Linked DNA regions of Neurospora crassa OR74A. The protein of the gene in region 1 binds, or shares a complex with, the protein of each later gene. Links are inferred from orthologs where the notes say so. Each region holds a gene or a part of one and is shown on either strand. Other genes may lie near its edges.

The links.
Region 2: the proteins of NCU02828 (region 1) and NCU09063 are in contact, whole or in part, in a cryo-EM structure (PDB 6YVU), measured with the Saccharomyces cerevisiae proteins. The link is inferred for Neurospora crassa OR74A from reciprocal best matches to the Saccharomyces cerevisiae genes BRN1 and SMC4. Residues at the interface, in NP_009455.3 of Saccharomyces cerevisiae: Leu101, Lys108, Ser693, Ser712, Thr713, Ser714, Phe715, Phe717, Ile718, Leu721, His722, Ala724, Asn725, Leu729, Gln730, Ile731, His733, Asn736, Tyr737, Asn738, Leu740; in NP_013187.1 of Saccharomyces cerevisiae: Pro175, Val184, Gly185, Pro186, Asn187, Ser189, Ile363, Glu367, Lys368, Leu371, Asn1385, Phe1388, Leu1394, Val1395, Gly1396, Val1397, Tyr1398, Lys1399, Arg1400, Thr1407, Thr1408, Ile1409, Lys1410, Asn1411, Ile1412, Asp1413, Ile1414.
Region 3: the proteins of NCU02828 (region 1) and NCU07679 are in contact, whole or in part, in a cryo-EM structure (PDB 6YVV), measured with the Saccharomyces cerevisiae proteins. The link is inferred for Neurospora crassa OR74A from reciprocal best matches to the Saccharomyces cerevisiae genes BRN1 and SMC2. Residues at the interface, in NP_009455.3 of Saccharomyces cerevisiae: Trp49, Ile54, Phe57, Tyr58, Leu60, Leu63, Glu67, Asn68, Asn69, Ile70, Phe72, Gln73, Ala75, Ser76, Leu79, Asp80, Cys82, Ile83, Tyr86, Ser87, Arg89, Val90, Val93, Thr94, Thr97, Leu100, Leu101, Leu104; in NP_116687.1 of Saccharomyces cerevisiae: Ala169, Gly170, Thr171, Lys172, Glu175, Arg178, Glu179, Glu182, Met185, Ser186, Glu189, Arg196, Leu199, Ile203, Lys206, Leu207, Asn992, Lys995, Met1003, Lys1005, Thr1006, Lys1009, Asp1010, Met1012, Lys1013, Glu1016, Lys1020, Tyr1024, Lys1025, Glu1027.

The regions. Positions count from the first base shown.
Region 1 is NC_026501.1:8,974,635-8,982,442, reverse strand, and holds NCU02828 (condensin complex component cnd2), read left to right. Parts: upstream 1-2,929; coding exon 2,930-3,012; intron 3,013-3,115; coding exon 3,116-3,737; intron 3,738-3,791; coding exon 3,792-5,453; intron 5,454-5,649; coding exon 5,650-5,997; downstream 5,998-7,808. Other genes in the region: NCU02826 (sodium/calcium exchanger protein), read right to left, coding at 1-1,259; sec53 (phosphomannomutase), read right to left, coding at 6,680-6,932, 7,159-7,616, 7,792-7,808. UniProt on the Saccharomyces cerevisiae protein: Regulatory subunit of the condensin complex, a complex required for conversion of interphase chromatin into mitotic-like condense chromosomes.
Region 2 is NC_026507.1:493,825-501,467, forward strand, and holds the start of NCU09063 (nuclear condensin complex subunit Smc4), read left to right. Parts: upstream 1-2,733; 5' UTR 2,734-3,034; coding exon 3,035-4,207; intron 4,208-4,256; coding exon 4,257-7,643. Other genes in the region: NCU09062 (hypothetical protein), read right to left, coding at 1,230-1,733, 1,809-2,047, 2,152-2,308. UniProt on the Saccharomyces cerevisiae protein: Central component of the condensin complex, a complex required for conversion of interphase chromatin into mitotic-like condense chromosomes.
Region 3 is NC_026504.1:2,260,667-2,268,601, forward strand, and holds the start of NCU07679 (nuclear condensin complex subunit Smc2), read left to right. Parts: upstream 1-3,960; 5' UTR 3,961-4,254; coding exon 4,255-4,281; intron 4,282-4,381; coding exon 4,382-4,422; intron 4,423-4,491; coding exon 4,492-7,698; intron 7,699-7,831; coding exon 7,832-7,935. Other genes in the region: NCU16784 (hypothetical protein), read right to left, coding at 1-7, 80-133, 280-462; NCU16785 (hypothetical protein), read right to left, coding at 1,156-2,982. UniProt on the Saccharomyces cerevisiae protein: Central component of the condensin complex, a complex required for conversion of interphase chromatin into mitotic-like condense chromosomes.

The DNA.
Region 1 (7,808 bases):
TTTGAGAAATAATCGGAATTCCCCCGTCGATGTCCACGGACGTAGCCGCTATGCTGGTTTCTTTCCTTCTGTATTGACGACAATATCGACCGGAATTCCAAAGCACCGACAAGACTAGGTCTGATGGGAGTGATGGTGGAGTTGCTTCGGCCCCAGCGGGGACGGTTGACGCGCATGCTGCTGGTCATCTCTGCAGCCACTTGCAGATCGCGGTGCTCATCCTCTTCTTCTTCGCTTGGTGTAGATGCAATTCCGTGTCCGTCAACTTCTATTCTGGGACCATGTTCCAGAGCGCTGATGTCGGTCTGAGCAGTACGAGGCCGATGATGTCCCGAAGCTGCTTCATCATCCTCTGGTTGATCCCGGTATGGCTCCAGCTCTCCTGATGGCTCGGGTGTAGAGCCATAAAAATGAGCACGAGCAGCAGCTTCCCCTTGTTTCCTCTTTCTCCTCCTGTCCGTGAACCACTGCCACGCAAACACCAAGATGACATAGAAGATGTAGCAGCCAACCATGGCGTTGGCCTCCCACAGGTGCAGTTCCTGGTCCAACAGGAACATCATGGTAAAGCTGATGGAAACAATAAAGTAAACGATATCTCGGACGAAGGTTCGTTTCTGGACCTTGAACTCGCGAACCAAGGCCATGGACCCGGCTACCACGGCAGTGATAAAGCCAGCAGCACCGATCAGCTCGCCCACCGCCATGCTCCCACTGTTGGAACTCATGGCGGCAAAGGTGCTAAAGACATCCGGGGAGCCATTGCCCAAGGCGAGGAACGTGACGCCGGCCAGGTTCTCGCTTAGACCCAGGACGCTCGAGATGGTGCTGAGGTTGATGCTGAAGAAGTCACTGGCAGCGATGCCGATCGTGGTAAATAGGAGGCCCAGCCATGCGGTCAGGACGGCGAAGGCGACGGGTTTCGCATTGGGTAGCGTGCAGTAGTAGAAGCTCAGGTAGTGTATTAGGCCGGCATCCTCGTCTTCGCAGTTGGCCAATATGAAGGCGCATTGGTCTTGGACCAGGTGGACATCGCGGCAATCGACGGGGGCGGTCGGTTCGTGCTTGTGGTGACCTCTTGCGAGGATTCGCGCAATATTATGTGGTTGTTGTTGATCATGTTCGGGTTGGCGCAACAACCGTGATGTCGCGAAGGGTCTGAGGACGAGCGCATAGGTTGCTAGACAGGTTATGAGGAGAGTCGACACGATAAAGGGTCGGGAGCTGAAGGGGCTCCGTTTCTGGCGATGTAGCGACATGCTGGACCTTTGGTCATGGCATCGCGTGGGGAATACTGGCTGTATGTGCTGGTGGTGGTGTGTTGACCCAAGGGAAGTGTCGCCACGGTGATGGATGATGGATGGATGGATGGACCGGCGGGGCAATCGAACGGCAGTTATCGTTGGGTCGCAATCGCAAATGTGATCGCAAGGTACGTATGTTGATGATGGCCGGAATTAAAAAAAAAAAAAAAAAGAGAGAAATTTGCCAGCAGCAGAAATAGAAAAGAAGAAGAAAAAAAAAACAGATAAGGCTACAAGTATGTCCAGTATGGTGTATACGATTGACGGGACGATGGCGTGGCTCGCGTGGGCGGGCGGGATTGCTGTGTTATGTAGGCGGAATGAGATCATCGTCGCAAAGTTGCCAAGGTGATTTCGGGTGGCCAGAAAGGTCGGATTAGGACTGGTGCGTCGAGGTATCCATGCGCCGCTTCTCTGAGACAAGACGATAGATTCATTGCATTGGAGATGGGTAGACGACGGATGGGCGCAAGGTAGGTATCTATTAGTGTAGATACTATAGGAAATAGGTGATTGGGAGAAAGTTGAACGAGAAGATAGAAGCTATCGATGTATGTAATCTAGAGTAGAGGCAAAGGGCAAAGAAGGAAGGCGGGGAATATTAAAAGAGGGTGACCTTCCTGGTTGGGCAGGAGACTGACATATCGCTGTGTTACCGTGTTCCTGATCTCAACAAGTTCCCTGCAGCAACCGAAAAGAAGAAAAAAATAAAAATAAAAAGGAAAGGAAAATCACGGAAAGGTAATGCTACCTTCTAACGTCTGCAGCCCCATGCGCAACCCGGTTGGACATGGAGACGCTGTTTCGGTTGGAGTCTGTCTTGACTGTAGAGTAGGAATACATACCTACTACAGATGCCTACTATACTTCTACAGTGCATACATACGCGAGCTCCAATCGATGCGGGTGAGGTGACCAACAGGAACGGAACTTCCATCTGAACTAACTCAAGAGGCTGTGGATTTGTGGCGACAAGAGAGATGAGTCTTGATCGCATCACAAAGAGGTCAAGACGGGGGAGGTAGCCCATATGCCCTGCCACTTGTACACTAGGTAGAGGTAGATATACGTCTCCTTTCTCTAGTTATGTAGGGAGTGCACATGCGTGACAACTTCGGACTCAGGAACTTCAATCGGAGTTTCAACTCCCCAAGTGAACCCCACATACAAGGTACACGTGTATGTAGTGTAAGTACCAGAAGGGGGGGGGGCTCTGTGTGATCGCCAACGGCCGCCGCATGTAACAGTATGTCCCTTGTACGTGTATGGATGTATCGATGCCCTGTAATGTACCGCTGTACCTGAGCGTAGTACCTTGACTGTAGAGGTAGCTTAGTCATTCGATGCCAAGCCCCCCAGACTTCCTCCCTTCAACTTCCTCACCCCGCTCTTAGTTACCTCTACCATAGTACTGCGTAGTAGGCCCCAGCACGTGCCGCCACCCGTCACCAGCCCGCCCGCTGAGACGTGGATCCGTCTAGCCCGTGTCTGCGCTACCTATCCAGCATTGGCACTCCCATCGTGGTTACGGGCGGGTCAAAGTAAACAAACACCACTGAAAGTCCAAACTAGACAGCGGCCGCCTGGAGCTTCACATCTTGGATAGCTTCGTCAACACCGCCAAGATGCCTCGCCTCAGCACAGGTCCGCGACGGAGCATGAGCAAGGGCCCTGCGGTGCCATCCCCGCTCAAATCCCCCGGCCTCAAGTACGTCTTTTCTTTGAATTGCGAATTGCGAATTGAACGTCTTGTCGCGTCCCTCTTTCATTTTCCTCCCTTGTAACTGACCAGAGATATTCGTCCCGACTAGAATCCCACTAAACGACGACGCCCAAGAAAAGGAACAACGATCGCGAGGACGCAAAGCCCTCCACGAGGCCCAGATCAACCAGCTCAAACTCGCCGCGACCGCAGTCGCAACCCCCGCCCGCAGCGTAATCGACGAAAATGGCACTCCGACCTCCAACGGACCGCGCACCCCGCGTCGCCGCATCTCTGGCAAGGAGAACTTCTCCATCCTCGACGACGATGACAGGCCGGTTGTGGGCGGCGCCGTCGTCACCCCCATGAAGCGCGTCCCCATCCTGGCCAACTTTGAGGAGTGGATGAAGATGGCCACCGACAACAAGATCAATGCCGCCAACTCGTGGAACTTTGCGCTGATCGACTACTTCCATGATATGTCGCTACTCAAGGAAGGAGACGGTGTCAATTTCCAAAAGGCCAGTTGCACGCTGGACGGGTGTGTCAAGATTTATACCAGCAGAGTCGACAGTGTTGCGACGGAAACCGGAAAGCTGCTCAGTGGTTTGGCCGACAGTCGCGACAGCAAGAAGAGGGATAGGGGCGAGGGCGAGGACGGCGGCGATGACGATGAGGAGGAGGACGAGGTGGACGAGAATGGCAACGTACTAAAGAAGCGTAGAAAGAAGGTTGGTTGCTCGGCTCACTGCTACGGGCGGGTTGCATGATACTGACAATTGCAGACCCAACGATCCTCCGAAGCCACCCTGGCACCCTCTTTCGCTTCCCTGCAGCTCAAAAAGTTCGAACTCGAATTCTCAGTAGATCCGCTCTTCAAAAAGGCATCAGCAGACTTCGATGAGGGAGGCGCTAAGGGTCTCCTCTTGAACCATCTGATGATCGATTCGCAGGGTCGCATCGTCTTTGACAGCAGCGACGACGCCATCGACACTCTCGACTCACGCAACCAAAAAGCCGCCGAGGAGAACGACCAAGATGCCGACCCGGACGCCATGGATATTGATGCGATGGAAATCGACGGCCAAACCGAAAAGACCCAGACCCGGACCCAACAACAAGAAGAAGAGGAGGAGGACGATGTGGAGATCGACATTGCCAGTCTTGGTGCTAGGTTCTTTCCCGATCTTGGACGACTAGACGAGATGGATGTGTGCCCATCGCTCAAGACTTTTATCCTCGGAGACCCCTCCGGATCCCTCGATATTCCCTTCCTCAGAGCGCCCGAGGACTGGCGCCAGGAGCAAGATAGAGCCAAGACCCCTGGCCTCGGCAACAAATCCGGCTTCATTATTGATGACGAGAACCCGCTCGGTTTCGATGACGATGATGCGCTGGGCGCATTCGACCTGGGAGGAGACGTTGACGTAGCCTTCGGTGAGGGTGGAGAAGCCTGGGCCCGCGAAGCCGCCATCGAGCCACAAATGATGCGGGTCTTTGACGCCGGTCTAGACATAGGAGAGGGCGAAGGTGGTGACGATGGTGATGGAGTAGACGGCGACCTCGAAATGATCGATCAAGACAAGGGCGATTTCGGCATGGTTAACATGACGAACGCCCAAAAGACGGACCGGCTGCACGAGGACATTCTCAGCTACTTCGACCAAGCCCTATCAAAGAACTGGACCAGCGCCGAGCACTGGCGCATTCGCAAGATCAAAGATGTCAACAAACCCCAAACGGGAGAACCACAACGCCAGCGCAAGGAGAAACAGGCTTTCGAGATCGACTTCTTCACCCCCGTGGATCGCACCCTTCACGACGTCCTGCACACCCAAGCCACCACCAACTCGGCCATTTCGCTGCCCAAGAAGGACTGGAAGTCCAAGTCGCGCAACCTGCTGCCGGACGACAAGCACTTCAGCTCCAAGCAGCTGCTCAACCTCTTCCTCAAGCCCAAGGCCCGTCTCGGCCGCAAGCAGCGCGCCTTTGGCCGTTCCAATGCCGACAACCAAAACCCAGACCAAGTCCCCGAGGGCACCATGGACGAGGCCTTCTGGGCCCAACAAAAAGCGCCGCTGAACCAGGGCCCATCATCGCAAGACGACCATCTACCGCAGGGTGACTACGACGCCAACTTCTTCCAGGATGACGGTCTGCCGTTTGCCAACGGCGGAGACGACGATGACGACGAAGACATGGACGAGGAAGTCTTTGCTGACGCACGGGATCACTTCTCGCCTGGCCCCGGTGGCACGCAAGGGGATGGCGCTGCCGGGAAAGAAGGAACAGCAGGACTGACGATGGACGTGGGCATGACGGGCGCGTTTAACGGGCTGACGGTTACGAACCCGGCCGATTTGGCGTTTGGCACGATGCTGGTCACGCAATCACGAAGAGTCAGGCCCGAGTATGTGCAGTATGCGAGACGGGCCAAGAAGGTGGATGTCAGGAGGCTGAAGGAGGAACTTTGGCGGGGGATGGGGATGGACATGTTGAATGGCGGACGTTTTTTTTTTTTTTTTTTTTTTTTTTTTTTTTCCTCTCTTCTTTTCTCCTCCCTGTTTTTCTTTTCTTTTTTTTTTTTTCTTTTTGTTTCATCCTCTTTTTATTTCTCCCAGTTACTAACAACACGAACAACAGATACCAACAACAACAACAACAACAACAACAAACCCCGAAGACTCCCTCCTCTCCCCACCCCCAACGACGACCCCATCCGCCCAACCACCGAGCTCCTCAGTAGAACCTCCCAAAGAAGGGGAAGAAGAACAGCAAGAAAAACCAACGCTCAAGTTCACAGAAGTCATGAACTCGCTGCAAAAAGTCTACCCGAAACAAGCCATGGACGACATCTCCACCAGTTACTGCTTCATTTGCTTGTTGCATCTTGCCAACGAAAAAGGGTTGGTGATTGAGAAGAGCGAGGAGTTGACGGAGCTCTACATAAAGAAGGACGCGAATGCTGTTGTTGAGGAGGGTGGTGAGTGAGTGAGTGAGTGAGTGATAGTTGGGCGCTAGATGGAGATAGATAGCATGGGGGTTTGTTTTTGGAGTGGATGTAGTTGTAGAGTGTGACGTTGATACCCCAGTTTAGCGGGACGGTTCGGTTGTTTTGCAACGACAACGGAGAGGAGAAGAAATAGTACACTAGTGAGTGAGCGAGTGAGTGAGTGAGTGAGATGGGTGGGTGGGTGGGTGGATTGGCAGGTTTCTTTCTTCCTTTTTTTCTCTGTCTGGGTGGGTGGGTGAGCGTATGAACCAGTATAAGGTATAAGGTATGGTATGATATGGTATGGTCTAGCACTTTGTGGTATATCAAGAATATGAAATACGGGTTACGGAATGGTATACCCAACGGGTCTCTGACAGTGTTGGTTTCCAATACAGAGAGGTGAGATGAGGAGGTATGTGGTACCAGCGTGAAAAAGATTAAGTGAAAGGGTCAACTGAAGTAAAGGAGCAAGGAAGAGCCTGTAAACAACCCTTTGGTCACGCATCATATCGTTCCCGAGGACTCTCCATTTTGTGTCTTCAAATCATCATTACCAATTATCTTCAATCCCTATATAGGCTTTTTTCTTTTACTTTGTTCTTCCATCATCATCATATCCCCACCCAACCCCCTTCACAGGTAGGTAGGTAGACCTCTGACACCCCCAAAACCCAAAACTTAAAGGTTAAAAAGCTTCCTCAGCTCGGCCGCCGTATCCTCCGGTCCGGTAACCGAGTGACCAATAGTCCTAGGATCCTCGTAAATCTCGTAGTCGTTACCGCCCTTGAAGGTCTTGTCGCCAAAGAAGTGGATGGTGTCGTACGTGATACCGCCGGCCTTCTTGGCCTCGTTCTCGAGGTGCTGCAGGCAGTAGGTCTTGTCCCAGCCGGTGGGGAAGACGTCGAAGGAGATTTGGCCGCCGATGGAGAAGCTGTTTGTTTTCCGTGTCTCTCTGTTAGCTTTGTTGTCTCGCTGAGAGAATGTGGGGGGGGGGAAGAGATCGAGCGAAGCGAGGTAAAGAAAAAAAAAAAAAAAAAAAAAAAGGCCGACCGCAGCAGACACCACACCACACCACACCACACTACCAAACGGGAGACAAGCAAAAGGAAAAAAAAAAACGAAAGAAAGAGCAGAGCAGAGCAGAAAGAAATACATACGTCAAACCCAAATGCCCAAACCTCTCCCTCAACTTCTCCACCATCTCCTTCCGCACGCCCGCCTCCTTATCAAACTTTTCAAACTCGTTTCGCTCCGCCGTGCTCGCATTACGGCCAATCGGGCTGACGTTGATCATGCCGTTCCGGTACTCGATAAACGTGCCGCGCTTGATGGGGATTTCCAAGTCGGCAATGTAGTGCAGGATCCAGCGCACCAGCTCCTTGTACTGGTCCTCGCCAATGTACTTGATGAAGCTGTTGGAGGGCAGCGGCTGCCCCAGCTTGTAGGCCGTCAAGCCGTTCTCGGCAAAGCAAAAGTCAAACAGGGTGGTGACGTCGGCCGAGGCGGCGGAGCCGAGCTGTTCTTGCTGCTTGACCAGGTCGGAGCCGCCGACGAAGCCGATGGCGCATTTTTGGCGGAGGGCCGAGAGGAGGGAGAGCATTTCGGGCGAGACGGTCTTGATCGGGGGCGGGGCGGGGCTGTGTTAGTTACATCGGTGTATACATACATTTAAAGAAGGGGATGGAATTAGGTGAAGCGATCACCACCACCAGCTGGCTCTACCAGAAAGGCAACAAGGACCGGATTCATAGAGCAGCTTTTAGAGGGGGGGGCAGAGAGGACAGACATACCAGTCTCGCGGGGGTAA
Region 2 (7,643 bases), on another chromosome or scaffold:
TAGTCCCTAAAGACACTGTAAAGTCAAAGGGAAAGCCTTGGACGGTCAGGTAGGATATATCCCTCCAATGACAACTTTTTGTGATTGACTGGCATATATAGCATCCCTCGTCTGCCGCTCGAAGGAGGTTGTGTAGACTCGAGTGATGTGGAGTCCCCCATTTGAACCCTTTCGGTTGCCAGTGGGGTACAAAGCGGTTGCAAACCGCGCATAGGTGGGTCGACATTATGGCGTTTAGGCGGGACTTGTTCAAAGTGGTGGATTGGTAGTAGTAATGGTAGGAATGTCACGGTGTTTTGCGTTGGAGGGAAGAAAGATGGAAGACATTGACGTGGCACGGCGGGAGTTTCGCCGGTTACCGCCTGGAGATTAGAGTGGCAGGGAAAGAGTGAATGGGTGCCTTCCACTGCTACCCAACTGCCCGGGCGGAGAGAAAGTTGCTGGTACAAAAAAACGCCCCACGATTCTTTTACCGACAAAAAGAGCCAAAACTCACCTCAGCCACTCCTCAGTTTTTCTACTCAATACCTTTAGAAGTAGATGCACTTAACGAAGCAATGAGGTGAATGATTCTAGTATTCAAGTTAAGGTTGGTATCAAATTCGTCTTTTTTGTAATCGGGTGACTGGTGTCAATTATAGAGCGTAAAAGTAGAATTCAGTTATGATGAACTTACAGCGCATTAGGTACAGTGGGTAGAAATCGAGATGCTTACATGTAGAAGTGACTTTGGTACTTGAGATCTCGCGCTTGTCCTCAATGTACATTCTCAAACAGATTGTACCATGATTTCCTATTAGTGATTTCTGTACCTAGATTTCAAAGTAATAGTTGCGATCGGACTACACAAGCAACAAAGAGCTAAAGAAGTTCTGTTCAGGCCTTTTTTGGTGGTCAGAATTGTCTTTGAGCGGTTTTTTTTTTTTTTTTTTTTTTTTTTTTTTTTTTTTTTTTTTGGATGCCTCTTTCAGTTGATTGAAACCAATCAGGAACGTCCAGTCATTACTGCCAGTCAGCGAGACTCGACCTTCGTTGCTGCAAATCGAAAAAGCAAAAGAGCATTCTCGTCGGTTTGACGATAAACAGTCATAAACATGTTGACTCAGGTGACCATCTCCCCATGGCAAGACCCAAAAGTATCCAAACGCCGTCGCTATGCCCGTTGCCAGAGATCAACCTATCGACAGAAAACTGCCAAGCTATGAAGGTATACCCACAACTCTTTAGCCTCACGAATAACCAGCAAGGTTCTCCAGAGCGGCAGTGCTGCTCAACCTCCCCGTCACAACCCCTCTCATCCTCAAAAGCGCATTTGCGCCTTTACTCTTCCTTCCTTCCCCGTGCCTCAAGTACTCCTGAAACCAGCTTTCCTCCTCGCCCGTCAACGCCGCGCTAACGAGTTCCTTGCCCCTCGCTCCTAACTTGTCCGGCTGCTCTAGAATGGAAGCTACTAACCTTTCAAACAGCTGCTGGCGGGTCCACTCCGGGTAGCGACGCGAGAAATCGAGTGCTTCGGTGACGTTAGTACGAGCAAGAGCGCCAAAGAGCAGCTCGAGAGCCTCGGATGAAGTAAAGACGGGCTGGGCGGCGTGGAAGTAGGCGAGAGCTAGCGTGTAATCGCTCTGACTGGTGGAGCTGCGCTTGTTGACGAGCGGATGGCGGACAAGGGCGATGGTGATTTCGTCGGCGAATTCGGTGGGGAGGGATGGGTGGGTTAGGTTTTCGATTGCGTACTGTTTAGCAGCGTTTGTTAGCGTCTTGATGTCCAGTGTGCAACTTAGGTTCCAGAACCAAACGGACGTCCGCACCTTGAACTCCATGCGATCCATGTGCCACAGGCCCCTCATAAGGATCTGGTACTTTTTCGGCAGTCCCGTCTCCTCAGCAAAGCTGTCCGCCCAATGCGAACGACCTGGATGGACGTCATCATGGTCGAGGAGGAGATAGTAAAGAACGGATATCTTTTGGATCGACGAGGCGCTGCTCTGGCAGATTTGTTGGTGGAGGGAGCGCAAGCCGTTCTCACCTCTGGGCGGATATGCAGTGCCTAGAGGTAGTTACAGTGGTGATTAGCGATGAAGCGCGCTATAACGACAGGGCATGGGTTGTTAGGGTGATTAGGTGGTAGTGTGGTGTTTACACTACACTAACCTTGGGCGATGCCTAACCGACTTAGGACGCGATCCACAAACAGGACGCCGCCCAATGATTTGCGGAAAGTCTCAATGGCACTGGCTCCCTTGTGATCGTAGGGGTTTATGAATCCCGGAGAGGGGAACACGTTGTTGTATTCTGTATAGTCGAGCATCGTGATGTTGAAGTTGGATTGCACAGTTGAAGTGCCCAAGTGTCCTTAGCTGTTGAATGAATTGAATGGAAAGGGAAAAGGGAAAATCGAAGGGATGGATGAGTGCCGTCATGGCCTGGGATACATGTATGCAACGGCCATCGGGTCCGTCAGGTCCATCCCCTGCACCTGGAATGGAGCCTTCCCCGGATCTGTACCTGCGCTAGGTAACGGCCTGTCTTGGCTTATCGATAAGGTAAGAAAGCCGTAAGCGCATGGAATGTTTGTTACACAGAGCGGGACTCCACCAGCCTGCCACGCATGCAGTGATAGCGCAACACGGTGCGAGCGTTCCAGGCAGCGGAGGGGTCGCCCGCTGCAGTGCACGAATTGCATTGGCTGCCCGTGGCTGCTGTGGCTGATTGTTTACCACCGCAGTCACGGTATTGCAAGAAGCGTCCGTCCAAAAACTGCCCTGAATGTCAACAATCTAACCGCGGCGGGGCAAGGAAGAAGCTGCGACAGCACTCAAAGAGTTTCTGCGTGGGCGTCCCATTCCGTGTCTGTCGCAACAACTGCCCTGCGAAATGTGAATACCATTTTTCATCTTTACTTGTTATTACATAAACTTTCACTCCTTGGTTGTCTGATACCCGCATCTTGCAGCGCTTTCTGTTCCATTCTGTTCTGTTGTTTTCATCATCGAGTCGAGAATTTGCAGGCCGAAACCACCGACAGACATCAGTCATGTCGACGCGCCCATCGCGTCGGGCCGCCGCAACCAGGCGCGCCGCCATCATCGAAGAATCCTCATCAGACGACGATATCGCAAACACCACATCGAGAGGCGCCCAAGATGACGACGAGGAGGACGATTATACACCCGCGCCAGCTTCGGCAGCCCGCAAGACTGCTCAGCGAACCACCAGAAGATCCACTGCCACGCCCGCTCCTAGGGCAGGAACACCAGCAGCAGCATCATCATCAACTGCACCGGCACCGGCACCAAAAGCTGCGCCGAAAAGGCGCGGACGACCTAAGAAGAATGCCGCGCCCAAACCCAGCAAAGAGCCCAGTGTCGAACCGAGTGTCGAAGCGAATAACGATCCCCAAGCCGAACCCGAAGCCCCAGCGCCTGCCGTCAAGCCAAAGGATGAGCCGATCGAGGAGGGTATCGACCCCAATGTGACTGTCGCGTCTGCCGTTTCGCCCGCTACAACCGCCGTGATCGCGGAGCCAGAAGCACGGGATACGCAAGAAATTCAGTCACCCCCGCGGAAGCGTAGAACTCTTGTGCGGCGCCTCAGCAGATCGCCAGCAAAGATCATGCAGCAACAACTCGAGCTGCAACAGCAACAAGCCAGCCGTCAAGGGACACCAACGCCAGGCTCTCCGTCAACTCAACGCGTCGATCGCCAACCTGCTCCTCTACAGGACATCACCCAGACCCTCATCAACCTACCACCTCCAGCGACCGCGGCATCAGAGACCCTTGTCAACACACAGCCAACATCAACAGCAGATGAAACCGTCGTGGCGGCCCAGAAGCCCGTCAGGGCTATGGATACTATTCTGGAAAAGCCCATGGATATTGTGCTCAAGTCACGGACCATGGCTCTTCCCGTCGTCGAGGATACCGGCCCGAAGCCACGCATTGTCATCACCAATCTTGTGCTCATCAACTTCAAGAGTTACGCCGGTAGACAGGAGGTCGGCCCCTTCCATGCTTCGTTCTCTTCGGTCGTGGGTCCCAACGGTTCTGGCAAATCCAACGTCATCGACTCGTTGCTGTTCGTCTTTGGTTTCCGTGCCAGCAAGATGCGACAAGGCAAGATCTCGGCCTTGATTCACAATTCGGCGCAGTTTCCGAATCTCGACTACTGTGAGGTGGAAGTGCATTTCCAGGAAGTCATGGACTTGGTAAGTCAAACATTGTTTTGAAGGGGAGTCATTGTGCTGACATTGATAGCCCGGCGGTGGCCACGAGGTTATCCCCGACTCAACACTCGTCATCTCGCGCAAAGCATTCAAGAACAACTCGAGCCAGTACTACATCAACGGCAAATCATCCAATTTTACCACCGTGACCACGCTACTCCGCGACCGTGGTGTCGATCTGGATCACAAGCGTTTTCTCATTCTCCAGGGCGAAGTCGAATCGATTGCCCAGATGAAGCCCAAAGCCGGCAACGAGCACGAAGATGGTCTGTTGGAGTACCTAGAAGACATTATTGGCACTTCCAAATACAAGACACCAATTGAAGAGTCGGCCACCGAAGTCGAAACCCTCAACGAGATCTGCATGGAGAAGAGTGGTCGTGTCCAGCACGTGGAAAAGGAAAGGAACAGTCTCGAGGACAAGAAGAACAAGGCGCTGGCGTATGTTCGCGATGAAAACGAACTGGCGCTGAAACAGTCGGCTCTCTACCAGCTATACATCAGCGAATGCGACGACAATATTGCTGTCACAGAGGAGGCTATCGGTCAGATGCAGGCACAACTTGACGCTGAGCTTGAGAAGCACCACGGCAGCGAACAGCTCATCAAGCAGTTGGAAAAGGCCTACTCCAAGGGTAGCAAGGAATACGACTCTTGGGAGAAGCAGACACAGCAGCTGGTCAAGGAGATGAACAAGTTCGAGCAGGAACGCGTCAAATTCGAGGAGAAGCGGAAGTTCTTGACGGACAAGCGTAAGAAGCTTGAGAAGACGATCGCTAACGCCGAGAAGACGGCTGTTGAAGCGGAGGAGACCATTCAGAACTGCACCAAGGAGATTGAGCGTCGTCAAAAGGACATTGTTTTCCTGGAGAAGAAGGTCAAGGAAGAGGAGGCCGAGCTTGCGACGATACGTGAGAGCCTCAAGGGCAAGACGCAAAAGTACTCGGATCAGATCGCGGCAAAGCAAAAGTCTCTCGAGCCTTGGAAGGACAAGATCAATCAGAAACAGTCCGCCATTGCCGTTGCGGAGAGTGAGCTGGCCATTCTCAGGGAAAAGGCCAATGCCGGAACTGTGGCCCTTGAGGAGATGGAGACGAAAATTGTGGCCATCCAGGAAAGGCAAGCGGCGAAGGCGGAGGAGATGGAGCAGTGCAAAGCTGAGAGAGCGAACCTGATCAAGGAGGGCAAGAAGATCGAGGCTGAACTTTCCAAGCTTGCGGAGGAGGAACCCAAGTACCGGCAACAGCTTTCGAATGCCCGCCAAAAGGCTGACGAGGCGCGGTCGAGCTTGTCCGCCACACAAAACCGAGGCAATGTCTTGACTGCCCTTATGCGCATGAAGGAGTCGGGTCGTATCGATGGGTTTCATGGACGACTTGGAAATCTCGGTGCTATTGACCAGAAGTACGATATTGCCATCTCTACAGCCTGTGGTGCTCTGGACAACTTTGTCACCGACACTGTTGAGGCCGGTCAGCAATGTATTGAATATCTCCGAAAAACCAACCTCGGACGTGGTAATTTTATGTGCTTGGACAAGTTGCGAGTCCGCGACATGTCTCCTATTCAGACTCCCGAAAACGCCCCTCGTCTCTTTGACCTTGTCAAGCCCAAAGACGACAAGTTCCGACCTGCCTTCTACCATGCTCTTCAGGACACATTGGTCGCCAAGGATCTCGCTCAGGCAAACCGCATTGCCTATGGCGCTAAGAGATGGCGAGTAGTGACCCTTGCCGGCGAGCTCATCGATAAGTCAGGTACCATGACCGGTGGTGGCACTACAGTCAAGCGGGGTCTGATGTCCTCCAAGCTTGTGGCTGACACCACCAAGGAGCAAGTTGACAAGCTTGAGGCGGACCGTGATACCTTGGAGCAGGCCTTCAACGAGTTCCAAGACCGCCAACGAGAACTCGAGTCCCGTCTGCGCCAGATCCAGTCCATGATTCCCCAGCTTGAGACCAAGATGCAGAAGATCAACCTCGAAGTTGAGAGCTCGGAGCGCAACCTTGCCGATGCCCAGCGCCGTATCAAGGAGCTCAGCAAGGAGCAACAGCCTTCCAAGACGGATGACAACCGCGTCGCCGCCCTTGAAAAGGAAATTGCCAAGCTTGAGGGCGAGGTCGAGAAGCTGCGCGAGGAGATGTCCTCCGTCGAGGATGAAATTAAGGCTCTTCAAGATAAGATCATGAAGGTAGGTGGTGAAAAGCTTCGCTCTCAAAAAGCCGCTGTGGACTCGTTAAAGGCAGAGATCGCCACGCAAAACGAGGAAACTTCTGCCGCCGAGGTGAAGATGGCGAAAGCGGAGAAACAGAAGCACAAGCTAGAGAAGGACTTTAACAAGGCGTCTAAAGAGCTGCAGAATGCCATTCAGGAGACCGAGGCTCTGGAAGAGGAGATTCAGAACCAGGGCGATACTGCCGAGAGCCTCACGACCCGTGTTGAAGAGGCCCAGGAGGCACTCAAGGAGAAGAAGAAAGAACTGGCAGCTATGAAGAAGGAGCTGGATGAGAAGACGGCCGAGCTCAACGAGACAAGGGCGGTGGAAATTGAGATGCGCAATAAGCTCGAGGAAAACCAAAAGATCCTGTCTGAGAACCAGAAGCGTCTGCGCTACTGGGAAGACAAGCTCTCCAAGCTCGCCCTCCAAGACATTGAAGATCTCGAGCGCGGCACCAGCGGCGACGCAGCAGCACCTCAACAACTTGCCGACCCTGATGCCATGGACGTCGACGACCCTGATTCCATTCTCCAAGCCCAACTCGAGGCCGAAGCCGCCGAGGCCGAAGAGAACGAGGAGGACGAGGAGGAAGAGGAGGAGGAGGAAGACGAAGATCCAGAAGCCATGTCCCTCGACGAAGACGACGAGGAACCTCGCCAGCGCAAGCAGAAAACCCCCAAGAAGCAAAAGCAAAAGCGCCGTCAACAAACCGGCAAAACCCCGCGCAAACCCCGCAACCCCCTCGAACTCCCCCGCTACACCCGCGACGAGCTAGCCGACATGTCCAAAGAGAAACTCAAGGGCGAGATCGCCGCGCTCGAAGAGAAGATCTCCAACGTGAACATCGACCTGTCTGTACTCTCCGAATACCGTCGTCGCGTGGAAGAACATCTCGCGCGTTCTTCGGACTTGGCCTCAGCCGTCTCCCAGCGCGACGCCGCCAAGAAGCGTCTCGACGAGCTCCGTCGTCTGCGATTGGAGGGCTTCATGGAAGGGTTCTCGACCATCTCTCTTAGACTAAAAGAGATGTACCAGATGATCACCATGGGCGGCAACGCAGAGCTGGAGCTGGTGGACAGTCTGGACCCCTTCTCGGAGGGAATCTTGTTCAGCGTGATGCCGCCCAAGAAGAGCTGGAAGAATATTTCTAATCTAAGTGGTGGCGAGAAGACGTTGAGTTCTCTGGCGCTGGTGTTTGCA
Region 3 (7,935 bases), on another chromosome or scaffold:
TGGAAGGCTTTTCAAGACGAGTCCGCTATGTTAGTGACGGAAACACCTGTGAGATGAGAATGGGCATTCAATCACGTACTGCAAATTCATCCTCGTCTTTCATCAAGGTGTTGTGAAGTAAATGTCTATAGACCTATGGCCATTCATGGTGTTTTAGCTCTTTGTATCTTCAAACAAAAGTCACCTTTCACTTCTCAAGTGCTCAATCTTGTGCCTACTGGAGCACCTCTTGATGTATCAAGTGCATTGACTGATTGGTTGACTGTGTTCATCACATACCTGTGGTTTGATCAAGACGAGATCAATGAAGAGTACGACAAAGTCATGCTCGACATATTTGTCACAGAAGCGGCCGCAGTTCTTGCACACCGTCAATCGGATGTTGTGTCCAGTCGACTTGTCACCTGCGCCCTCCCTCCATAACGTCTTCACAGGGTGTCTGCATTCGATGCAAATCGGCATTCGGACCGCGAGATTGAGCAGAGACGAGGCTGATGGGGTTAAGTGTGTATCGTGATTGAAATTATCGTTGAGGGTTCGTAAGTGTTGTGATGGATTTAACCGCTTGTGATTTGATGGCGTTCCTCAATGTTTCCGCCGTGGATGATGCTGAGGGAGAGTTCTTGGCGTCTATAGCAATTCAGTGTTAGTCCACCTCTGGTTTACATGGTAAGCGCTGGGTTAGGGTTCAATGTGTGTACCACAGTATGTTGTGCAGTTTTGATGCTGCTTCACCAGGCCCAGCCATTTCAGGGGCTCGAACAGAGGTTAAACGTCCGTCAACGATATTCGTCCTCATTTGGCCAAATGATCTCGTCCATCGCATCGATATCTCGAATTGTACCGCCGTTGTCCAAATCAAAACGGTGGTTCATGGCGCATGAGAAATATACTTTTCGGTGATCCTATGGTCTAGTGATTGCTTTGAATGTGCCCGCTTTCGCTCTAATTCTCGATATACACAAAACCGCCAAAATAGATATTAATGCAAACCTGGCCAACTTTGCTGGCCCCCTATGATGAAGAAAGAGGACGCCATTATACTTAACTGTGATAACATGCTCATCATGAGTGGGGATCCCCCGTCATGATTCCAAAGCTGCAAATTACCCGAGAACCGATGCAAACGAGCGATCTATCTGTCCAAAGCTACAATTAGTCTGCCTTCTTATCCCTCCCAGCAAGATTGCCGCTGGGGAACCGCCCTCTCATCATTCCACTCCCACCCATTGTAGCGCTTCTTCCAGAGGTACCGACTTCAAAATTCGACAGTCCTGTGTCCTGTAAATTGTTAGACGTAGGATTGACAGGGCCTCCTCGATCATCGTCACTATTAGTGTCGGTAAGCTCGATGAGGTCGCCTTCTTCTGCCCCAAGAGGCGATCGTTTCGGTACGCCTAAAGAAGGCGTTCCCAATGGTCGTTTGACAAAGGCGCCTCGTAGCCAATTCTCGACCGCCGCAGCTGCTTTATCGAGGCCGGTGGACCCTTGGCCATTTAACCTCGAGGCATCGCCTCCGTCTTCAAAAGGACTCTCCACAATAGTTGGGTGCTCCTCAGCGCCGTGGAAACCGAGGCGGGCGGTTTCAGCACCCATAACAGCCATGGACGGTAGAGAGTCAATGTTGAGGCCCGGTAGATGTTTATTTGTCCACGTGTTGAAATAATCCTTCTCGGGCCCGGGCGCTCTTACATTCCGCAGCGAGCCTACACCCCCCGGCCGTCTCATCCATGCTGGCCGCGCATCATCTCCAACAAGACTAGGACGGCTTCCTATAAGACTCGTTCGGCGAGAAGATATGCTGCCGGGACTCATGGGACCGGTCTCTCCACTCAGGGTGGTACCCGGTACGTCCATTGACGTCCTAGGCGACGTCATCGTGGAAGTGGTGTTCATGCTCTTCCTCCGACGCGGGGGAAAGTATCCCAGAACCTTACGTTCTACTCGTGCGACCTCAACAGGATGAGGAAACGAGTCGAGTGATACCCAACGCACATGTGTCCATGGTCGCTCGTCATCATTTGTTGGTAATTTGTCGTCCCCGCCTCGATCGTTGGTTGAGGGGCCAAAAAACTCTCGGTTGTTGGAATTGTCTCGCCCAAATGGATCAGTTCCTTCCGGCGTACGAGCCAAGTAATCAACTTGAGTCCCTGAAAATGAGGGGCCTCCGCAAGGGCGCCCCTTGATCTCGCAGGCGTCGACAGGAATTGCAAGCCATTTGCGTATCTGAATATTGTCTCGAGACCATAGGCCGTTGGCCTTACGGAATGCGTCTTCACGGCACTTGTAGCGAAGCACAATCCCGGCGTAGGTATCGGTAGGTTGTACATGGTGAATGTACACCAGGTGCTCCGCTGCTTCCTGACTCTGAGAAGGTTCTCGCAAATCCTCGTCTGAATTACGCTTCTTGAACCTCCTGGAAACATCCAGGCCACCATTGACCCCCTCGTGGCTTTCGAGTACACTTGCTGTCCTAAGGGCCCTGAGACGCCCCTCCCGCTCGGTTAATGATCCTGATCCAACATCCTCCAAGCGTGGCCTCGACTCGTTTGGTGGTTCGGGACCCCAACTGCTGGAGCTCTTTTGTTTCCCAGCGGTTTGAGTTGCCAACCTTTCTGACCCGGTATGATATGATTCTCCACCGGTAAGCAGTGATGTGGTAAACTCCTGAACGGAGGCCCACGTCGAAGCCCACGAGCCATCGAGCAGACCACGGCCACCCCTGGGGCTACTTGTACGAGCGGAGCCCGCCGCGACCTCGAGTCTAGAATCGTTCCTCCCAGTAACATCTCCTATGCGTGCGGCGGGAATCGGCGAGGCCCCTCTGTCTGAGGTCCTGCTCGGGCTTGAGTAGAGGGAGGATGATGTTGCATTATTCCGGTTGCTCGCTACGCGGCGGTTCCGTGGCCGAAGAGAGTTATCATCCACTTCTGCTGAAGCCGACAAGAGAGCATTCGAAGGGGGGCGCTGCGAGAGACTCATGGCTTTGTGTTGATTGTGTCCTCGCAGGGAGGGCGCAAACCTCGGCGCCTTATGGTTCGTGGTTCGAAGGGAGCATCAGATAGCAGTTGTTCGAGGAACCATGGAGAGGGTGCCCCTTGCTGCTAGGCTGTTATTATTCTCTTTGCAAGTGTGTGACTGCTGGAGACTATGGGCACTGGTCGCAACGCTATGAGTGCCCTCGCTTCGTTTGTTTTTCCTCTCGAGATGCGCCGTAACGTGGAGTTCTCTTTGTAAGTTTATTGATGGAGACGGATTGCTCGCGGTGATGGCCCAATCGGTTGAAGCTGGGCTGGAGATCGGATCCGGTAGGACGTCGAGACAAAGGTACGGCGGGTAACAGGTCGTTGCGATTAGGTGGTTAATTGAAATGCGCGTCATGAAATCACAAAAATGCCACCAATAGCCGAACAATGATCTTGAACGGGAGACGCTCAGTTTGATGGGAAAGCTGGAGGGTGAAAGGTCCAAGAGCTTCCACTTCACTACGGTAGGTTGTGACGAGCTGGAGGAATCGATGCGCAAGCAGGAACGTGCCGTCCAGGTTCCCACTCACGCAGGGCAGTCGTGCCACTGTGTTCTAGTTGGCGGCGTCCCCGGCCTGTGGCCTGAATGGAGGCTCCCATAGGTATCCCGGAGGGGGCTCCCGTCGGCCAGTTCAGGGCCAAGAACCGGGCATAGCGGGGACCATGCCTTGCCTCCCCGGCCATGCCGTGCACTTGAAGGAAAGGCTCCACAATGTGTTTTGGCTCTGCGCCATGTACAAATCAGGCCCGTTTTGCATGGTCTTTTGGTACGTAATGATTTACTGCTCCAGGCCGAATCAAGGGCCTCGCAAGACGGAGAATAGGATCCCGCGTAGAGCTTCCTGATCTTATGTGCGCCAAGCCGAGTTACTTGGGATCTTTGCCGACGAAAGGGTCATCATAAATGGTGATAGACCAAAAAGGGGTACATATACATAGCCAGAGCACGGACCCAGTGTCGCAGAGAGCCACTTGCTACATAATCCCCACCTTTGTGAGCATCGCGCCAGGGGCAGGCGGGCACGTGCAGACGTGAATGCAGGGCGCCCTGTCCTGGCCCACACCCCGCCCTTCCCCCAAACCCAGTGGTGCCTGAGAAAAGTAAACAAACGTTGAGTCCATCTTCCGATCTTGTTGCAATTGTTCGGGCAGGCGCGGGCGTTTCTTACAGCAGCGCCAAAGTCTGAGCCACCACAATCCTCGGGCCCAAAACCACGACGACGCCAGAATGAGGGTTACCGAAGTCATTATCGACGTACGTGTTTCTCCACGGTGCCATCAGTCGCGACCGGACCGAACGTGGGATGCGACAACTTGAAGTCGCGACAGAGCTGACATATTCGTGCCTCACATAGGGCTTCAAGTCGTACGCCGTTAGAACGGTGATTTCGGGATGGTAAGGGCACAAATCCATCAGGGCGATGGAAGGCATCCTCCCAACTGCATAACTAACCGGCCGTCACAGGGATGAGAGCTTCAACTCCATTACCGGCCTCAACGGCAGCGGTAAATCCAACATCCTCGACGCCATCTGCTTCGTCCTCGGTATTACCAACATGTCAACAGTCCGCGCTCAAAACCTGCAGGATCTTATCTACAAACGAGGCCAAGCTGGTGTCACGAAGGCTAGCGTTACCATAGTGTTCGACAATAGAGACAAGAAAAAGTCACCAATCGGATTCGAAGAGTATGCGACCATCAGCGTTACCCGCCAAATCGTGCTCGGAGGCACCTCAAAATACCTGATCAACGGTCATCGTGCGCAGCAACAAACCGTACAGAACCTCTTCCAATCGGTTCAGCTCAATATCAACAACCCCAACTTCCTCATCATGCAGGGCCGCATCACAAAAGTTTTGAATATGAAGGCCGTTGAAATCCTGGCCATGATCGAGGAGGCAGCTGGCACAAGGATGTTCGAGGACAGGAGGGACAAAGCACTCAAGACGATGGCCAAGAAGGAGATGAAGTTACAGGAGATCAAAGAACTCTTGCGGGATGAGATCGAACCGAAACTGGAGAAGCTACGAACCGAAAAGCGCGCATTCCTCGACTTTCAGCAAACACAAAACGACCTGGAGCGATTGACAAGGCTCGTGGTGGCGCACGATTACGTAAGGTGTCAGGAGAAGCTACAACAGTCAGCATCGGATCTTGAGGCGAAGAAGCAGCGCCAGAAAGAACTTGAGGAATCTGCTATCCGGCTGAAAAATGAGATATCCCATCTGGAGGAGGACTTACAACGGGTTAAGGCACAGCGCGACAAGGAATTACGAAAAGGTGGCAAGGCTCAAGCCCTGGAAGAAGCAGTGAAGAAGCACGCCAACGAGCTGGTAAGGCTTGCTACTGTTGTGGATTTGAAGAAGAGCAGTATGAAGGAGGAGCAGGAACGGAGGAAAGCTGGAGAGAAGAACGTTGCGGACCTGGAAGCGGCGCTGAAGGAGAAGACGAAGACGTACGAGAAGATCAAGGCGAAATACGATGCCGCCAAGGAGACGCTTGAAAAGCAGAGGCAAGAAGCAGACACCAAGGAAGAGCTGCTACAAACCCTGCAAACTGGTGTTGCGTCCAAGGAGGGACAGGAGAACGGTTACCAAGGACAACTACAAGACGCGAGAAACAGGGCCACGGCTGCGGCAACTGAACAAGAGCAGGCAAAGATCAAAATCGCCCATCTGGAGAAGCGAATCAAAGGGGAAGAACCCCGGGCCAGGAAGGCCAAAGAGCAAAACGCCGGCTTGCTGAAGGATCTCGATGGCCTGAAAGCCCAGGCTCAGAGGCTTGAGAAGGAGCTTGGAAGGCTTGGGTTCCAACCCGGGACGGAGGAAGAAATGTATAAGCAGGAAAGCTCGCTCCAGCAGACTATCCGCAATCTCAGGCAAGAAGCCGATGCGCTTAAACGCAAGGTGGCAAATATCGACTTCAACTACGCCGATCCAGTCCCAAACTTTGATCGATCAAAAGTGAAAGGGCTAGTCGCGCAACTCTTTTCATTACCCAAAGAGTATATGGAAGCTGGAACAGCGCTGGAGATCTGCGCTGGAGGCCGTCTTTACAACGTGGTTGTTGACACCGAAGTCACTGGCACACAACTACTGCAAGGCGGTAGATTGCGAAAGAGGGTTACCATCATTCCCTTGAACAAGATCTCTGCTTTCAAGGCTTCTGCACAAACGATTGCCAATGCGCAACGAATCGCTCCAGGAAAAGTGCACCTGGCTTTGTCCCTAGTTGGGTACGACGATGAAGTGTCAGCGGCAATGGACTATGTCTTTGGAAATACGCTCATTTGCGCTGATGCAGACACAGCCAAGAGAGTGACGTTCGATCCAAATGTCCGCATGAGGAGCATCACAGTGGAGGGTGATTCGTACGATCCATCTGGTACACTATCGGGTGGAAGTGCCCCCAACTCGAGCGGCGTTTTGGTTACTTTGCAGAAGCTCAATGAAATCAATCGGCAGCTGAAGGAAGCAGAGACCGCCCTCAATGAGCTACGCGGCCAAATTTACCGGGAAAAAACGAAACTTGACCAAGCAAAGAGAATCAAGCAAGAACTTGACCTCAAAGCCCATGAGATCAAGCTAGCGGAGGAGCAAATTGGCGGCAACTCATCATCATCGATCATCCAAGAGATTGCAAATATGAAGGAAACAATAGTCCAACTCAAGCAGTCGATCATGGAGGCCAAGCAGCGACAGGCAGAAGCCACCGCCGAAGCCAAAAGAATCGAAAAGGACATGAAGGACTTTGACAATAATAAAGACGCTAAGCTTGTGGAGCTGCAAGCTTCAGTCGACAAGCTACGTGCGTCCCTGGACAAGATGTCTGTTACAAACAAGGCGTTGCAAAAAGAGCTTCAGGAGGCGCAACTGGACTCCGAGCAGGTTGCTGCGGATCTCGCAGCTGCGCGGGAGCAGGTTCAAGATATCGACGTTGCTCTCAAAGCCCAGCAGGAGGAGATCGACGACATAGTGAAGCAAGGAACAGTCCTTCAAGAGACCCACGACGCCGTCCTAGCACAGCTGGAAGACGAACGGACCAAACTGCATGTGTATGACGACGAGCTCCGGGCTTTGGAAGATGCTACCAGATCCAAGAATGCTCGAATCGCCGAGGAGGGGCTTGAAATGCAGAAGCTCGGTCACCAGATCGAGAAGTTCCACAAGGAGCAGCAGCAAGCCGCGCAGACAGCCTCACACATGGAGCGCGAGCACGACTGGATCGCCGAGACCAAGGACCAGTTTGGCCGGCCCGGAACGCTCTACGACTTCAAGGGCCAGAACATTGCCGAGTGCAAGTCCACGCTGCGGAACCTGACGGAGCGTAGCCAGGGCCTGCGCAAAAAGATCAACCCAAAGGTGATGAACATGATCGACAGCGTGGAGAAGAAGGAGGTGTCGCTCAAGCACATGATGCGCACCGTCATCCGCGACAAGCGCAAGATCGAGGAAACCATTCTTAGTCTGGACGACTACAAGAAGAAGGCGCTGCAGGAGACGTGGGAGAAGGTCAATGCCGACTTTGGACAGATCTTTGCCGAGCTGTTGCCGGGCAGTTTCGCCAAGTTGGATCCTCCCGAAGGCAAGACCATCAGCGAGGGCTTGGAAGTTAAGGTGCAGCTTGGTAAAGTGTGGAAGCAGAGCCTTACCGAGTTGAGTGGTGGTCAAAGGTAAATTTTTGTTTTTCAAAATCTTTTTTTCTTCTTCTTTTTCTTTCTACCGCCTCCCCCAATTCAACTCACCTCAGCCCGTCCTTTCATCCAAAAATCTCCCATCAAGCCTACTAACTTTGTCGTCGTCCAGATCCCTAATTGCCCTCTCCCTCATCATGGCTCTCCTCCAGTTCAAGCCCGCGCCCATGTACATTCTCGACGAAGTCGACGCGGCGCTCGACCTGTCGCACACGC